2 linked regions of the Caenorhabditis elegans genome follow. The protein of the gene in region 1 interacts with the protein of each later gene in a pairwise test. Each region holds a gene or a part of one and is shown on either strand. Other genes may lie near its edges.

Region 1 (9,069 bases):
GCAGAAATTTATATAGGAGAACACAAATTACTAACAAGAATACATTTTCGAAGGTACAACAGGAATTGTGACGCAACAGAAATGGAATTTGTCAGAATAGAACGCTTGATTTATGAGCAAGATAGAATAAAGAGAATGTAAGTTGAAATAAAAACTGAAAAATATATAATTCCAGAAAATAAGCATGAGTCTAAAAATACCTCCAAACCATATTCCTGGAAAATTAAAAGTTGATTAATTCGGAAAAAAGTTCTCACAGAAGCTCTAATTTAAGTCTTGTTAAGTTTGGTCTAGGTCTAGGTCTAGGTCTAGGTCTAGGTCTAGGTCTTAGTTTCGCATTTTCTTAATGTTTTTCAAAGATTCTGTAGCAGTTCAAAGTTCTGATTACGCCATTCTACTCCGAAGCGTTCAGCTAGTGTCAATTTTTACAAAACTGATCACTCTCATTATTTTTCTGTCTTCTGTGAACCGTTTTATTACCCCATCTTGACACCATTAAAGGTTCCAAATACCTATCGGCTGCAGTTCTCCGTGAAATCAGCAGATGCTAATCTTGCCTAATTTGCAATAATTCATCGTGACGGTGACGTGATTCAATGCAAAGGACTGCTAGTTAATTGGATCGCCCTCCTCAAAATATGCCACCAATTTTTCGGTTTTTTTCACGGCGATTTCTTTGCTGAGTTTCAAGAATAATTGGCAAGCGAGAAGTCGAAAAAACGAGGCGTTGAGAAGACGAGTTTCCGATGTTAATCAAGCAGAAGATTTTTGGAAAATTAAGTGGGGAAAAATATGTTGGAAATGATGAGTAGGCAGATTGAGATTGCATCTTTCGGTATATGTAGTATTTTGTTTTATTGAACATTAGTGTTTTGACGTAGCCACTGATATTAACCATTAAAGTTTATAAAGTTTTGGTTTAAATTTTAGTTTCAAAAACCTGGACCTAGACCTAGACCTAGGCCTACACCTAGACCTAGACGGATAATGTCGTCCTCTTTCCTTTTCGTAGTCATTACTTAGCCGAACTAATAAGTAACTAACAACCGGAAGAAATCTTCAAGACAAGCACATGTACATATATCTAGCGTTTCCTAATAAAACACTCTATTCCCGAGAAATTGTTCACTTTGAGGAACACCAAACAAGACAAATGTCGTCCAGAAAAATCACAAATTCATGCCCCTTTTATCAAAAAAACAACTTGCTACTTTTTGAACTTTGGCCACCGAGGCTATCAGTTTTATCAATTTTATCATTGCGAAAGTTCGAATCAAAAGTATCAGGAACACACCTAATTATTTTCTCATTGGAAATCCGTTCCTTCTCGACATTTCTCTATTTTTTAGAGGAGATACGAATGACATGATCGACTAGGGGGTAAGAAGGGCACCACTTTCGCCGGCAAAAAGCGGTGAAGCTATTCATCCAGCTGTTAATTGCATTAGAAATAGTCCTCTACAAGGTATGCTTAGAGACTATTTGTATGTTGCTTGTGCCTTCTGATACTTCTTCTTTTCTAGAAAAAGTAGTGAGAGTCTCAATCCAATTATACAGTCTTTTCAAAACAATGTGTATCGACGGTTATAATGCCCTGATTTGGAGTCATTTGGTTTTAGATTCATATTGGGAAAGCTTCTCATAAGGCTGCCCATTTTTAATTAGTACTTCATTCTCTTTTAGTTTTCAATTGGCAGACAGTTGTTTCAAAGCTTCTCCTCAGATTTTGAAAAAATCCAATTCTATTATAAAATTTATTTTCGATTTGTTTTGTTTTGTATAGGCTTTAGGAACAGCTGGTTCATGATCTCCAGAAAATTGTGCCAAAATTTCACGCGTTCGTTTGAACCGGCACCAAACGGTGCATTTAGTGTGACGTTTTATTATATTTTAGAATGTTCTGGAGAACACACTGGAAAGGCCTACTTTTCAGACGTCGCGGAAAATTTTCTGAATTGCGTGTGACGTCACAAAAACACATAAAAAATGTGCCGATACTTCAAGGGATCTCGCTATGTAGGGACTCTTTTAGCAAATCTCAATTGAGACCTCAGAATTAATCTGCCAATATGAAGGCTCTGTAAATGTCACACAGAACCTGATAATTTTTTAGTATGAAAAAAATAGTTATAGAAAATTCTAATTTCTCAAATCGTAAAATTTTGAAACTCAATAAGAAACTTAAACTTTTGTGATATGTGAACTGAAAATAATGTGTACTTTTACCATTAATCTAGCCGAAAATGTTCACCTCATTGCGCTTTAACACACTATTTTGTAGCTTTTAGCTGGATAAGTTGTGAGTAACAACCGTCATGCCTATCAACTGCCTGCGTGCCTACAATAAGGTTCCAAGCCTACCTACACTTATTTTGTCATGAGTCCCCATTCCGATTCATTCACGAATTTTCCTGAACGGGAAAGCAGGCGTAGGTAGACTTCAACCCATGTCTTGCGCGCTCGTAACCTCAGAAGATGTCTGGATAAAAATCATTCCAAAATAGGCATAGGCCGCCTCCCAGGCTGAGTGTTCATGGGTGCTTGTAGGCATACAGGTAGACTTATAACGCTTGCGCGACAAACTCAGAGAGTTGCTTGGCTACGTTTTAAATTTTCCAGTTTCGAATAACTTTAAATATACCCCCCCCCCCCCCCCAGTTATGAGCTGCCAAGCTTGAACGATACCACACTGTAAAAAAGAAAAGCTGGGAGAAAGGGGCGCCTTCCATGACACCTTCGCCTAGAATTAGGTCTAAGTTTAGATCTAGTCCCCTTTTTTCTAAACTTCTTCTTCAGTTCCTAGTGTCTAGTTTACAGGTAATCTCTTAATTTCATCTGATTTTGTCTTCCAACTAAACTTTTGATTTCTGCCACGCCAGATTTTTGGAATGGCGTCAGCTGCTTCAAAATACTAAAAAAATCTAATCGAAGATCAAGATAATCCGAAAAATCAAATACAACCTTGGCAATAGTACAAGTGTCTGGCCGCTGTGGAAAACAATCATTTTCACTGTTTTCTTAACAAGAAATGCCATTTGCGGCAAATATTCATCCAATTAACAAATTACACGGGGTCTCTCATGCATCTAAGTGCGGTTTATTACAAGTATATGGGGAATCCACTCTGTGGATATAACCGTCTAGAATGTTCCACACATCTAGTTTTCAATTGTGTTGTTGACTTAAAAACTTTGGCATCTACTTTCAGGGTTTTGTATTAAACTAAAGTACTTTGAAGGCATTTTCCAGTTCTTCTAGTCGCTTTAAAGATTAGTATTTGGAAAAATTGAAGAATTCTAGCCTAGCAGTTCACACCTATAATTAACTATTTTTCTCACAAGGGCTTTACAGTTTTGGCTAGATTCTCAGTTTTCAAAGACTACCCCTCAATTCTGTTCCCTCTCCGGAATTCTCACTTTCACAGATTTGTTTTCTCATCCAAACGGACTGTGATTATGTATGCATTTCCTTCTTCTTCTTTTCTTTTCCTCAATGTTTTTCGGCTTTACCTTCCCCTTCTCACATGCCAAAACAGTGTGTTTATATCTCGAGATTCCTGGGAGGGAAAACTGCGTTTCCCATGTGTCGATTCTAATTGATTTGTTAGCCGTTTGATGCGCTTTTTGTGAACACAAAAAGCACGGTGTTTCCGCCCTTTTGTTCGAGATTTGTGACCAAAGCTAGCGCGGCTTATATGGACGTTTGGACTGTTATAGGCTACGGTTTCGGATTTCAATCTCCTTGAACCTATTTATCTCTTGATTTTTTTGTTTTTTTATTGTTTGTTTTGTTTTTGAAAATACTAGGAACTTGCAGTTAATAGAATGTGAATTAAGTTTAGATAATTACTTTTGCGTTGAAATTTTTCTAAAATAAACTCAAATAAAAAACAAGAGTCAGTTTGTCAAATTGAAGTTTATGAGCTAATAAATGTAAAAACCTCCATTATGCTGCACTTGTTGTAGTTATTTCAATTTACAGCTAGGTAGGTCTACTTCCTAGAGCCCAACTTCCAACTGAGCATTTGGCTTGAAAAATATGCTACTGGAAAACTAAAAACTTCCCCGTCAGTAAATTTCAAGAGACTAGAGTTTCCAAGAGCCTAGTAAAAGACTAGTGGAAATATGGAAGTTTACCTCTGAAAATCTGATTTAAACAATGAAATTTTTAGCTTTCCACCAATCAACTGAATTTCTGTTTGTTGCCGTGCAACGCTCTTTAGGGTTTTAATAAAATTAGTACCGTTTTTTTAACTTTCAAAAGTCGGAATTTGGATTTTGCAGAAATATTTTAAAACTTAATTCACAAGGTTGGCTTTTTTTAGTAAGAAATCTACAGGCTGTCAATAACCATTTCCTCGTTTTTGAAGTTTCAATTTCTCTCTATTTTCTACACCACTTCTCTCTACTTTTTACTCTAATTTTCTTCTCATTTCAATAATTTTCAGAAATGTTACACAGGCCGAAACTTACAGTAATCCTATCAGTATTACTCACCTTCCGGTTAGCGGATTGCTGGTTCCTCTCAATGGTGCGTTTTCATGGATATTCAATTTAGAACAAAATTATTTCAGCTCGGTGGTGGTGCTGGTGGTTGCCAAAATCAATGTCCGCCAGCTTACTCTGGGTATTATCAATCTCGGAATTATAATCCTCCGCAACAGGTAATCTGACGATAAAGATTTGGAAGGTGCAAAAACTAATGAGTAGACATTTTTCTGATAAGAATAGAAAATGAGCTGGTGATAAAGCTCCTGGCAAACTCTCACGCCTCCTACTTTCAGTCCAATGAGCATTGTGAGAAACTTGAAGAAAATTCGAAGAAAAAATAATTCAGAAATAGAAATTGATATGGTGACTGATTTTCAGAGTATTAGAGTGGGAATTCATTTGGCTGATAACTCAACCAATTTTTTGTTGAATCTTAGAATGGCCTTGGCAAATCTAAATTTGTAAAGCCTAAAACTTTTCAGCGATTCAACTACGGTTTGCCTCCTCCAACACCGCCTGCAAATTCATATGCAACTGCTCCAGCAAACTATGCGGCTCCTTCAAACGCCTACCCATTTGCTCCTCAATACTCAATTCCAATGAACTCATATGCTATGCCAAAATACGCAGTTGCTCCCCAATATGCAATGGTTCCATATCCAACCCCTCCAGCTTACGTTAGACCTCCACCGGTTTATGTCACACCTCCACCTGTATATATAACCCCACCACCAACTACAACTACTACAATTCCACCACCAAAATGTTTCCAAAACACTCAGGGATACAAATGTTGCAATCGACAGTTGGATCAATTTTTAGAACAGAAAGTTGGAGAGATGTTGAAGCCAGAATGGCAGAGATGTAATCTGCAACGATTTGCAACACAGCTTCAGGTTTGGTTCAGGGTCATTTTATTGATTTGCATATTAGGAGAGAAGTTGGGTGGGGTCGTTCTCAAGGTTCGGAGATTGAACTGCGAATTGAGGGGACTAGGTATAAGTTTAGATCATTTGAAACAGGATAAATTGAAGTGTTTTCAAAAAACTTAATTTTTTAGCCGTTTCTTTTGAAACAGTTGTCAAGTGCTCTACATAAAAAAATCTAAATGTTTTCAGCACGAAACGCAACAAATGTTCAATCATTCAATGGAAGCAATCGTTGCCAGTGGAGAAGTACAAAATCTTTCAAATTACCGCGGAGACCTTTATTGCAAAAAGCGGAGTCGAGACGGAAAGGTATTATTCACATATCTACTTATCGAATCAAAATCTAAATTTCAGATTGTTGTGATATATGGCTCAGCAGTTCCATATTCTCTAGATACCGGAGTGACTCGTCCAATGAACGATGACGAGTTGAGAACTCAAATGTATCCGGCTAAGTATGATGAAATTGGAGTGCATGATGGACATGAAGAGAACATTTGGTTCTAGGAATATTTATTTGAATTAATTCTTGTTTTTAATTATTTCGAAGTAGCCTATTTATAATTGTTGAAATCTTTTTTAAATATTTCCAAAAATTTCCAAATTTCCATCTCCAAAATTGATCTTGAATTTATTCTCCAGCCAATTCTTTTTCATCTTTTATTTTTTTTCAGCTTTTTATTATTTTAACTTTATACTTTGAATTAATAATTATATATTTCTTTTTTTCATATTGTTCTATGCTCACTTGTATATAAAAGGAAATAAAGTTCTCTCCTCGTTTCTTGTTGAACGCCCGTTTCCATGGTAACCGTCATTTTCGGAGTGCAGCGGAGCATTTTACTCCTTTTTCTCCAATATTGCTCAATTTATTAGTATGAACATTTGGGATCTTGCCAAACAGAAATTAGTGGAAAATAAGCAACGAGCTGCAGAGCTAAAACAGAAATTAGATGATGAAAATGGAACACAAAGTGATAATTATTGTGAGTTTTTTTTGTTAATTTTATTTAATTATTTGTGAAATTTTAGTTCAATCTTGAAAATAAAAAACTCTAAAATATTAAATCTTCTGTTAAAATAATTTCAATTCCGAAAACAAGTTTTCTATCTGAAAGGGAAATTTTTTGAGAAAAGTTGTTGTTTTTATCCTATATTTTTGTTTTTTTTTGTAATTTTTTTATTATCAGAAAAAATATTATATCTCACAAATTTCAAAAAAAATTGTCAGAAAATGTTTTTGTAGGAATATTCTGGATAAAAAATTTCACAACAAATATGTAACAGTCGAAATATGAGCTTCTGGAAAATGATATTTACTTTTTTTAAACAAATTTCAGTATCAGAAGTTCGTCGGAGACACGAATCGCATATCATTTTTGCTGGGAATCGAAAAAGTGTACGTTTTTTTCTAATTTTTTAGAAGTCTTCATTTTGAGTAGTTTTTCAGGGAAAATCCTCATTCATGCTGAATTTCCTAGAACGAAAAGAAGATTTGAAGGATTCCGTAGGATTGGAATACACTTATGCCAGGAGAACTCGAGGAAATGTGAGTTACTTTTTTTTAGGCTTAAATTTGAAATAGAGATTATGATTTAGGTGAAAGATATCGCGAATTTGTGGGAGCTTGGTGGTGGAGCAACTGTTACGGAACTGCTTTCAGTTCCTATCACAATGAAAAATGTCGAGTGAGTTTTTTTTTCAAATCAGTGTAGTTAGTTTTTACATTTGCGCAGTATGAGGAGTGGAGTGTTTCACTCTAATAGGCTCACATGGCAAAAAAAAGACAAAAAAAGACATACATAGGTTCAAAAACAACTACACTAAGAACAAGGAAACGTCTTGTCAAGAAGTTTATATCTATTCCTACAGCTAAAGAATCAAAAATTCAATTTAGAAATAAGTGAGTCAATGAGAGATGAGTCAATAAGTATTCACCTTATTCGTGCGGGGGGCTGAGCTGGATGAATCATTCGCCAATACAGTTAGGAAAGCGTTTTTCAGATATTCAGCCTTTCAGATATTCAGCTTTTTAGATATTAGGTTTGAGTATGAACTGCTCCGTAATATTTTTCAACAAATATCATTTCTACTTTTCAGAATTTGCTCTTTGATCTTGCTTCTCGATATGACAAATCTTGACGAAATGTGGATAACAATCGAAAAAACGGTGGACTCTGTTCGACGCCTCGTTGAGAATCTCGAACGGCAAGATATTAACCTCCAAACTCGCTTGGCTGAAAAAATGCGTCTCCGCCTCGAAAAATACGACGATGGAAGTTTGAAGATGTGCAATCCATGTCCTATACCGGTGACTATTGTCGCTTCGAAATACGATGAATTTCAAAATTTTGAATCTGAAAAACGACGGCATCTTTGTCAGTTTCTTCGATTCCTCGCCTATTCGTATGGAGCGAATTTGATGATGTTTTCGTCGAGAATGGAACAATTTCCGAAGCTCGTGAAGAATATGACGAGTCATTTCGCATTTGGCACTGTTTGTCCGCAAGGTTATATGACTGATCATAATAAACCAATGTTTGTGAAATGCGGTTTTGATAGTTTAGAGGTGAGCGTTCGAATAGATTTCAATCAACACAATCTGCCTACCTACATACCTCACTTTTTACCTACACAGTTCAAGACAGTCAACTCTTACAAATTTTTTTTTTTCGTTTACATAAATTGGCAACACTTCTTGTTCGCGTTCTGAAACTCCTACGTTTTCGTTGTTTCCCCCAACAAGAATTATGTTTTCAGTCTATTGGAATACCTCCTGCATCAGACAATTTTATGGGAGCTTCATCCCCATTCAATTTATGGAGAGAGTCATTTATCAGCCTCTGGCCTCAAAAGGTAAGTGGAGCACCTTCTTGCCTGCCTTCTTGGTTAAAATTTTTAAAAATAGATAGGAGACAGGCAAGCATCAGGCTAGCACGCATATCTATCTTTTTACAGACTGGGACAATTGACATTGAGGATACAAAGAAACAAGATCCAATGATTGATCCGGTATTTAAAGAGCCGAATATTGACAATCTTGTGGAAATCAAGCGGAAAGAACTCAAAAATCACATAAGATCAAAGAGAGATCGGGAGGCTGCAGAGGCACGTGCGGCCGATCGAATCGCAAAAATTAATGTTCGATAATCTGAATTTATTTGAACTGTGAAATGAATCTGGTAGTTTTTAATTGAAATTCAAAGATTAGAGAGTGATGGACATTTGATTTTATTGTGTGAATGTTTGTAATTTTTTTCGAGTATCTATGACAATTTGTAAGGAAAATGTTTGAGTTCCCAATTTGTGTAGTATAGTTTTTTTCCAAAAAAAAACTTCTACATGGCAATTTTTCAAGAGTACTTCAATTTTCAAGATTTTCAACTTTTTTTTGGGTTTAAACTGTAGTATGAAGCTTTTTCTAGCTTAGACTTGTATTGGTGACACTTCAATTTTCAAATTTTTATTTCTTGGAAATTGTTCAAAAACCTATTTTTATTCAAGTCTATTGGTTGTAGTTTAAGATTTTGTCTAGCTTCAAAATTTATTTTTATTATCCCATAGATACTGAGAATCTACAGTAACCAATTGCCGTTCGTGGTGGAACTCCAAATATAAACCTTAAAAATTCTCTGGAATTTCCAACACTT
Region 2 (8,607 bases), on another chromosome or scaffold:
CACAAAAGAAACAGTTAAACTTATGAAATCACATGCCCGGCCGTGGCCGCATTCATTTAATAAATGGAGGGAAATTCAATGAGAAATACGGTGGACAACGAGTGTTTACGGACTGAACAACACATTTGACGACAAGTTGCAGACAGACACGTTGCAGCGATAGAAGAAAAGTCTGGTTTTCAATTTTACGTATTTTCCCTAATATTTTATTTATATTATTAGCTGAAAAATGTTTTATAAATAAGGGTTCAAATTTTTGAGGTGATTAATCACGCAGTAAATGTTTCAAATGTTAAATTTACATTGTAAACCTCGCGACCAACTGTGTATGTATGACTTTCCAAATAACTTCGCAACTGTTCGTCCGTCAATATAATATCACTTTAAATCTTCCAAATAACAGTTATTCGATTCAGATTGACTCACTTTGAACTAATCTCCATCATTTATGCACAGTTGAAAATTTTCAGAAGCTGAAAGTTTGAAAAATAACACGTAAAAATGAGTGCCCCAAAAACTAAAGGAGGTAATTTTGAGACGTCGTGATTGTGATTTATTATTTTGTAATTTCTTTGTGCTTGTAGTCGCTCCTTGATTGTGCATGACTTTTCTCTCGCTTCTCAATAGAACACGTTGGTTTTTCTCATTATTCGATTAATCAGTAGCAAAACAGTGTATCCTCGAAAAATCATAAATGTTGGGTTCCTAATTTTTGCCATCAGAATTCGAAGTCGGCCGAATGATTTTGAGTTACTCCGTTATACATTCTTCGCGCCACAAAAAATGTAATGGTTTTATTTTCCAGGTCAATCTTCAAGAATGAAGACCAACAAGAAGGATGAGGAAACCGGGGGAAACGTCTATGCTCACCTCGATAAGACCTCCGTTCTTCAGGAAGCTCGCGCCTTCAACGAGACACCGATCAACGCGAGGAAATGTTGTTTCATCTTGTCGAAGTTGATTTACATCATTCAACAAGGAGAATCAATCGGAAGAACAGAAGCAACTGAGGCCTTTTTTGGTGTCACAAAGCTTTGGCAGAGCAAGGATGTCAGTCTACGCCGCATGGTTTATCTCGCTGTGAAGGAATTGGCTGAAGTTTCTGATGATGTCATTATTGTCACTTCAAGTCTTACAAAGGATATGACTGGAAGAGAAGATCTCTACAGAGCAGCTGCGATACGTGCTCTTTGCAAGATTACCGACACTGGAATGTTGCAAACTATTGAAAGATACATGAAACAGGCTATCGTTGATCGAAACAGTGCGATTTCTTCATCGGCTATCGTCTCTTCCATTCATTTGATGCGTAAGTCTTCCGAGGTAGTTCGTCGTTGGGCTAATGAAGTACAAGAAGCTGTTTCATCGGACAACCACATGGTTCAATACCACGCTCTGGCCCTTCTCTATCAAATCCGTGCCAACGATCGTCTCGCTGTGAACAAACTCGTCCAGAAGTTCAGCAAAAATGCTCTTCGTAGTCCATATGCTGTGTGCTATTTGATCCGCATTGCCACTAGATGTCTTGTCGATGACGATCAGTAAGGGTTTTAATTGAACGTATGGTTCGATAATCAATTAAAAGTTGCAGGCCAGATTCTTCTGTTTTCACATTCATTGAATCGTGTCTTCGTCACAAGAGCGAGATGGTAGTCTATGAAGCAGCTAGAGCCATTGTTTCACTTCCACAAACCACTCCGTAAGCATTGTATAATTTCTGAGTAAATTTATATTTCATTTTGCAGATCGGAGATTCAGCCAGCAATCACTGCTCTGCAAATGTGCTGCACTTCTCCAAAAGCAGCAGTTCGCTTTGCCGCAGTTCGAACTCTCAACAAAGTCGCAATGGCTCACCCGAACGCAGTTATGAGCTGCAATGTGGATCTTGAGAAGTTCATAACGGACCCGAACAGATCTATTGCAACTCTTGCCATCACCACCCTCCTCAAGACTGGAGCCGAGTCTAGTGTTGAAAGACTCATGCAACAAATCGCTGGCTTCGTAAACGAGATCTCGGATGAGTTCAAAATTGTTGTGGTCGATGCTATTCGCTCACTGTGCTCACGTTATCCTCGAAAGCATACTGTTATGATGCCTTTCCTTGCTAAGATGTTGCGTAGTGACGGAAGTTACGATTACAAGAAAGCAATTGTGGAAACTATTATTGCAATCATCGAAGAGAATCCAGATGCTAAAGTTGCTGGATTGGCTCACCTTTGCGAATTCATTGAAGACTGTGAGCACGATAATCTTTCTACTCGTGTTCTTCATCTCCTCGGGAGAGAAGCTCCAAAAACTCCAAACCCATCAAGCTACATTCGATTCATCTACAACCGCGTAATTTTGGAGAGCACCAAAGTTCGGGCCGCTGCAGTTACAGCTCTCGCCAAATTTGGAGCACAGTGCGTTGATTTGCGTCCATCGATTCAAGTTCTTCTGAAACGCTGCCTTTTGGATTCTGATGACGAAGTTCGTGATCGTGCCACCTTCTACCTCAAAATGCTTACTGAAGCAGCCGAAGGCCTCATTCACAACTTTATTCTTGACGGACTTCAAGTTTCGCCATCTGGTCTCGAGCGCTCAATTCTTGACTATCTCCGATCCGGATCTTACTCTTCTCCATTTGATCTTCGAGTTGTTCCTGTTACTCAACAAGCTCTTTCTCAACCTGAAAAACGTGTTCCTCAACTTGTGGAAGAAGAAGAGAAACCGAAAGCTCCTAAAGTTGAGCCATATGCTGCACAGCTGGCTGCTATTCCACAGTTTGCTGCTCTTGGTCCAGTCTTCAAGTCATCTACCAGAATTGCTCTCACGGAATCAATTGCTGAATACACTGTTCATATGATCAAGCATACATTTGCCAATGCCATGGTTCTGCAGGTATTTAAAAATAGTGAACTTTTGAAATCAATTATCGAATTTATTTTCAGTTTGAATGCAAAAATACAATGAATGACCAGCTTCTTCTTGATGTTTCTGTTGAATTGGAAGATCCAGATGGAGAATGGGAAACTGGAAATACTGTTCAAATTGATAAACTTCCCTATGGAGAAGTTCATTCAGCCTTTTCACTTCTAGAATTCCCTGATTCTGGAGCCATCTCTGGAAGTTTAGGTGCTATTCTCAAGTTCAAGGTGATGGATGTAGATCCAACTTCCGGGGAACCTGATTCGGATGACACATACGAGCAAACATATGTGGTACGCTGTAGAATTCTTAATACATTTTTATAATTCTAAATTATTTTCAGCTGGAAGAAGTTGATGTTAATGTGTCGGATTCGGTTCAAGGAGTCGCAAAATCTTCATTTGGATCTGCTTGGGAAGCGTTGGGAGACGATGCAACAAGAGAAGAAACATTCCAATTGTCAACAGTGGAAAATATTCCTGATGCTGTCAAGAAAATATCTGAAATTTTGGGACTTGTTCCTTGTGAACGGTCCGATCGTGTTCCTGAAGGAAAGACGCAACACACAGTGTTCCTTTCCGGAGTTTTTCGTGGTGGATATGATGTTCTTTCGAAAGCCACGGTCGCGGTGGATCCAAACGACAATTCAATTGCCATGAATATTATTATCAAGTACGTTTTTTTCAAACATTTTTTGATATTGTATCCCAATTAGGTCAATCATATATTTGCTCCAAAATAAAATCTAGTACATATTTACATAATATTTATTAAACTTTTTAATTGATTTTAAGTGGAATCAGACAGTAATAATTGTTTGCAAAATTTTTCGAATTATGAAATAGCATTAAAATTGAAATTTAAAATTAAGCATTTTTAATGGTTTTGAGTCATTTCCTGATCTCTACTAATAGTAAGCACAATTTGAAATTCTAAAATTACAGATCGAATGAACCACTCGTCGCAGATTTGGTTATCTCCGCAGTTGTCTAAAATTATTCGGGAATGTCCTGCGCCGCTGTTTTTCTGATTTTAAATGTCACCGCATGTTTTTTTTTCTAATTTATTGACCGGCGTTCGACAATTGTGATGTATGTGTGTTTTAATTGGTATTTTTGCTTCTTATTTATTGTGCGTTTTCGTGTTTATAGCTATTGCTTCCAAAAAAATTGAAAAAATAAAATGGGAAGTCTCATTATACCTTCCTCGAGTTTACTGGTTACACAATAGAACACATGTTATAATTAATTTTTCCGGATCCTAACTAAAATGGGTTGGTAAGTTAAAGTTTCCAAAACAAGCTTGTTCGGCATCTTAATAGTTAGAGCAAAAAAAAGGATTGATCGATTCACCGAGCAGCTGTTCTCTTTTTTTTTGTGAAGAGCCGGATGATCACCAGGTCTCTTGAAATCTCGTGATATTTCGCTTCCGATTGAAAGTTTCGCAGTTTGTCGCCTCGAAAAATGAAAATATGTGACTCTAAAGCTATTTTTTAAAGTTTTTGTTACCGTAACATTAACAGTTATTATCGATTTCTGGTTTAACGTTGTCGTGAAATTGTGCACATTGGCCACACACTGTGAAGGTGCTAAGAAAAATGACCACTAGGTAACCCAAGAGCAATGTAAACAATTCTCGTTGTCTGTACTGACTCACTTCTTTGAGAAATCGTTTCTTTTCTTCACTTTTGTATTTTTTTAATCGAACCTTTCCGCAACCAAATCTTAAATCTTGAGATTTATTAAAGTTGACTCAAAAATTGAAAATGCGAGCACCTGTGACATTTCTAATCTTGTGCTCACTGGCTCTTCTCTGTTCATCAGCTAACAACTGTGCCTGGTTTGTCGGTCAATTACAATGTACGGACACTTCGAAATTGGAAAATGTGGTTGTAGAAATTTGGGACAAGGATCGATCTTTTGTAAGTTTTTTTATTTTTGAAATGTCGTTAATGTTGAACTGAAAAAAAATTAAATTACAGTTTCCAATTACTTTATTCGTTGATGATGATTTGGCTGGAAGAACTATTACTTCTGCAGATGACAATGGAACATTCAAAGTGGAAGGATGTGCTTCTGACCTCGATTTTCTTTTTATCAAAAATGAACCAGAATTTTATTTGAAAATTCGACACTACTGCAAAGGAAAGTGAGTTACAAAGCACTTGCTTCATAATAAATATTTAAATTTTTAATTATTTCAGGGCAGAAGTGACGCTTGTACACCCGAAAAATCCGAAGGTGTTCGTTCCACAAACTAACGATTATTTCACAAAACATCCTATTATTTTGGGATAGATGTTTAAGAGTTCAATAAATGTATTTTATATTTGAATTTTCTACACACAAATGTTGTTTAATTGGTCTTCCAATCCATAACTTATTTTATCAAACTAAACTTGGCAAAAAAGTTGAAATTGAACATGTCATATCATCAATTAAAATGTAGCTATGACCTTCCCCAAAATTCTACATTGGAATCATCAGAAACTAGTCAGTTTGATCGCTTTTCAATGATTAATTCTCCAACCTCCCTCAAGGTTTTTCTATTCAATCGATTCTTCACGATATGGGTGTCCTCTTTCTTTTTGGTGGATTTTCCTGTTCTTATCATCCATTTGTTTCCGAGAAACATGGAAAAAGGACACAATATTTTTCACTGGCTAATAGAAATAGTATAGTTTTATTTTTATAGCTGTGAATTAAGAATAAAAATGAAAATAAAATCAAAAATCTTCTCGCAGAAGGCACCGTACACTAACAATTTGGGCGCAAGTCCAAAAGCGTCGCTGCGGTCTCGTAGCGATGTGTAAATATTTTTCCTCAGTAGCTATGCGCCTTTGAATATTGGTACTGTCACAACTATAGTGTTTCCTCAATTTTGTTTTTTATTTCTCGAGATTTCTCTTCTAATTTAAGAAATCTTAACTAGTTTGAATTATTTTTTAGTGTTTAAATGATATTTAGTTGTCCAATTCTTTAGTTAAAATTCCGTGCGTTTTAACCTCACTTTTCCATCGTTTCAGTTTCAGACACGAGAAACTGGTTCAAGAAATACTTCAAACTTTCTTTTTCTCTTCATTCTTGAAAATTTTACTTTTTCTTGTTTGTTTTGGCAATTCAATCTGTTTCGATCCAACCACAAATGTTTGACGTCATCCGGCAGTTGTGAATAGCTTGATTTTCATTTTGCGGCAGCTTCACCGTATTCTTTGTGTCAATCAAGAATTTTTATAAATGAGTAGTTGGAGGTGTCAATCATTAGGCCTCAGACAATCAAAACTCCATTTTTCAATATATTTAATTTTCAATGCAGTTTGTTTCTAACGTTTCCAACTTTAATCCCACAAAAAATGACGTGCGAATGATTCATAATAATCTGAAATTTAGTTTAGTTTATCCAACTCCTTGTTTATGGTGAAATTGGTGAATAAAAAATAAAAGTGGCACATGTTTTTAATTGAAAAATAAATTGAACATTCAAAATCCTATTATAATCCGTTATTCTCCCTTTTGATGAAACATCGATCTGTTCTGAAATGAAATCATTCAAAATATTTCGTTTCTGAATCCATTCTGTCCAACTTTCCTTTTTTCAGATTTAACATAAAATAACCACTAACAATGCTCAAATCGCTTATAATTATCTGCGTTTCCATTCTTCCCATATCTCTTGCTGGTAGAGAATGTGTCTGGGTTCTAGGAAAAGTCGAATGTCAAAATGATCCGACCAAGAATCTGAATGTTGAGGTTAGATTTTTATCAGTTTCTCCTGAAATTGATAGTGAATTCATTTTTGCAGAAATATTTCAACAAAACACTATTTCAGATTCGTGTCTGGGATCGTGATGGTCCAGGACCACTTCAAATGATAGACCCAGATGATTTGATGGGTGTCACATTTTCCAATGATGACGGACGTTTCCAATTGGACGGATGTGGAGATGATTTCGATTGGATTCCGGGAGTTAAGAATGTTCCAGAACCATATATTGAAGTTAGTTTTTTAATCATCAGTTCGATATCAAAAATGTTGTTTTCCAAGTTTCATTGAATTTTTGAAACATTACGAGCCTATGAAATTCAAAATCTTTAAGAAAACTGTTATAATTTTTCTGTAATCTACTAAAAGATAATTTTCAGATTCGTCATTACTGTAACAGTGAAAAAGGAGACATCTTCCAACTTCCAGAATTCAGTACTTTTGTTCCAAATACCTATGATATCGGAACCATCGTTCTTGACAAGGAGACTCGTGGAATTAAAACGACACAGAAAGCTGATCCAACTCAATAATTTATTCTTTTCCATTTTAATCTTTTTTATCCCATTTGCCATTCATCGCGTTATTCATTCCAAAATCTTGTTTGTTTTGTACTTTTATCTTCATATCTAAATATTTGTACAGTCGGAATTTGAATTATTTTCTATGAATTCAAAACTCATTCCCACTTTAAATCGTTCCCATCAATTGTTTTCTTGCCTCGATTTTCTTCTGTGATTTCACTTCCTTCTTGCATAACATTTTTGAATTTTTTTTTCATTAGTCTTCAGTTTTACTAATTTTTGGTGTTTAACCAAGCTATGAACTATCTACTAACCTCTCCAGGAAGACTTCAAGTACGAAGTAAAAAAAAATCACTCATCGCAGTTGTCCCATGAAAATCCTGGAAATGTGTGGTTTTTCTCTAGTTTTACGGTTTAGTGTATTTCAGCAAAACCCTATAAACTCTACTCAGAATGAACACTCCATTCAAACTTGAATACTTGAATACTTTTTAATTTCAATGAAAAATTTCGCAAATATGATACCTGTAAACCAAAATTTACCACCATACATGATCTACTTCAATTTCATCTAGATCATTCATATTTTTTTGAATTTTTCTTTTAAAAAGTGAACATTGCTCGAAACTTTTTTTTTATATTTTGTGCTTTTCAAAACTTTAGTTCAAAAATATACTTTTTGAACGTTTTCTGTCATTCATAAAATACCAAATAACATTTCCTTCTAGTATTTGATGTTTGTCAAATATCCATAGACCTAGGTTCAATTCGCCAACTTACTAGGTATCTACAACGAACATGGACTAACCTATTCGAATTATAAATTTGCCTTTGAACACGAAAAATTGAAAAGATCAGTGCCAAATTAAACATTAGAGAGATGAAGAACACTTTCGAAAATCCGGATTAGCCGCCATCCATTGGTTTGTAGCCTTTTTTGATTAAAACGAGAATACAGAGAAACACCAGAGACAGTGCGGCTTTTCAATTCATTTTTGTTCATTGTCTCCTTTTTTCTCCACACAATTCAATATTTTTTCGTTTCTTTTTTCCAAATATTTGCAAAGCTGTCGCTCTTCCTTTTTAGTGATTTTAGCTGGCTATTAGATTGAAAATGTCTGAAATCTTAAGTTTCGATCTAATAAATGAAGCATCCTTCGACCATTCAGGTTTATAACGTTCTTTTTCGTTGATTTTGCATCCTCATTTAGCAGTCTTATCTAATTTTCAAAATGATTTTTAATTCAGATTGTCTGTGAAAAAATCGGATAGAAATGTGAAAAACCATGTATGGGAAAGCGTTTAAAAGGAAAAAAATATGTTTCACCTTCAGTCCATTTCCTTTAAAAATCATTTCATTGAATTCGTTTTGTTTTAAAATTATATCTCGCATCGAATTTTGTCTCGCAATAAT

The links.
Region 2: the proteins of grd-12 (region 1) and ttr-54 interact in a two-hybrid assay, tested with the Caenorhabditis elegans proteins (one large-scale study listed by BioGRID).

The regions. Positions count from the first base shown.
Region 1 is NC_003283.11:14,974,058-14,983,126, forward strand, and holds grd-12 (Ground-like domain-containing protein), read left to right. Parts: upstream 1-4,447; 5' UTR 4,448-4,449; coding exon 4,450-4,530; exon of another isoform or gene 4,531-4,573; coding exon 4,574-4,663; intron 4,664-4,972; coding exon 4,973-5,386; intron 5,387-5,608; coding exon 5,609-5,728; intron 5,729-5,773; coding exon 5,774-5,926; 3' UTR 5,927-6,193; downstream 6,194-9,069. Other genes in the region: xbx-1 (Cytoplasmic dynein 2 light intermediate chain 1), read left to right, coding at 6,297-6,405, 6,760-6,818, 6,870-6,968, 7,019-7,107, 7,520-7,988, 8,180-8,275, 8,378-8,569.
Region 2 is NC_003282.8:10,151,533-10,160,139, forward strand, and holds ttr-54 (Transthyretin-like family protein), read left to right. Parts: upstream 1-4,242; 5' UTR 4,243-4,672; coding exon 4,673-4,828; intron 4,829-4,888; coding exon 4,889-5,055; intron 5,056-5,110; coding exon 5,111-5,204; 3' UTR 5,205-5,239; downstream 5,240-8,607. Other genes in the region: copg-1 (Coatomer subunit gamma), read left to right, coding at 502-526, 806-1,541, 1,586-1,699, 1,746-2,880, 2,931-3,200, 3,251-3,579, 3,852-3,900; ttr-53 (Transthyretin-like family protein), read left to right, coding at 6,531-6,656, 6,736-6,903, 7,050-7,202.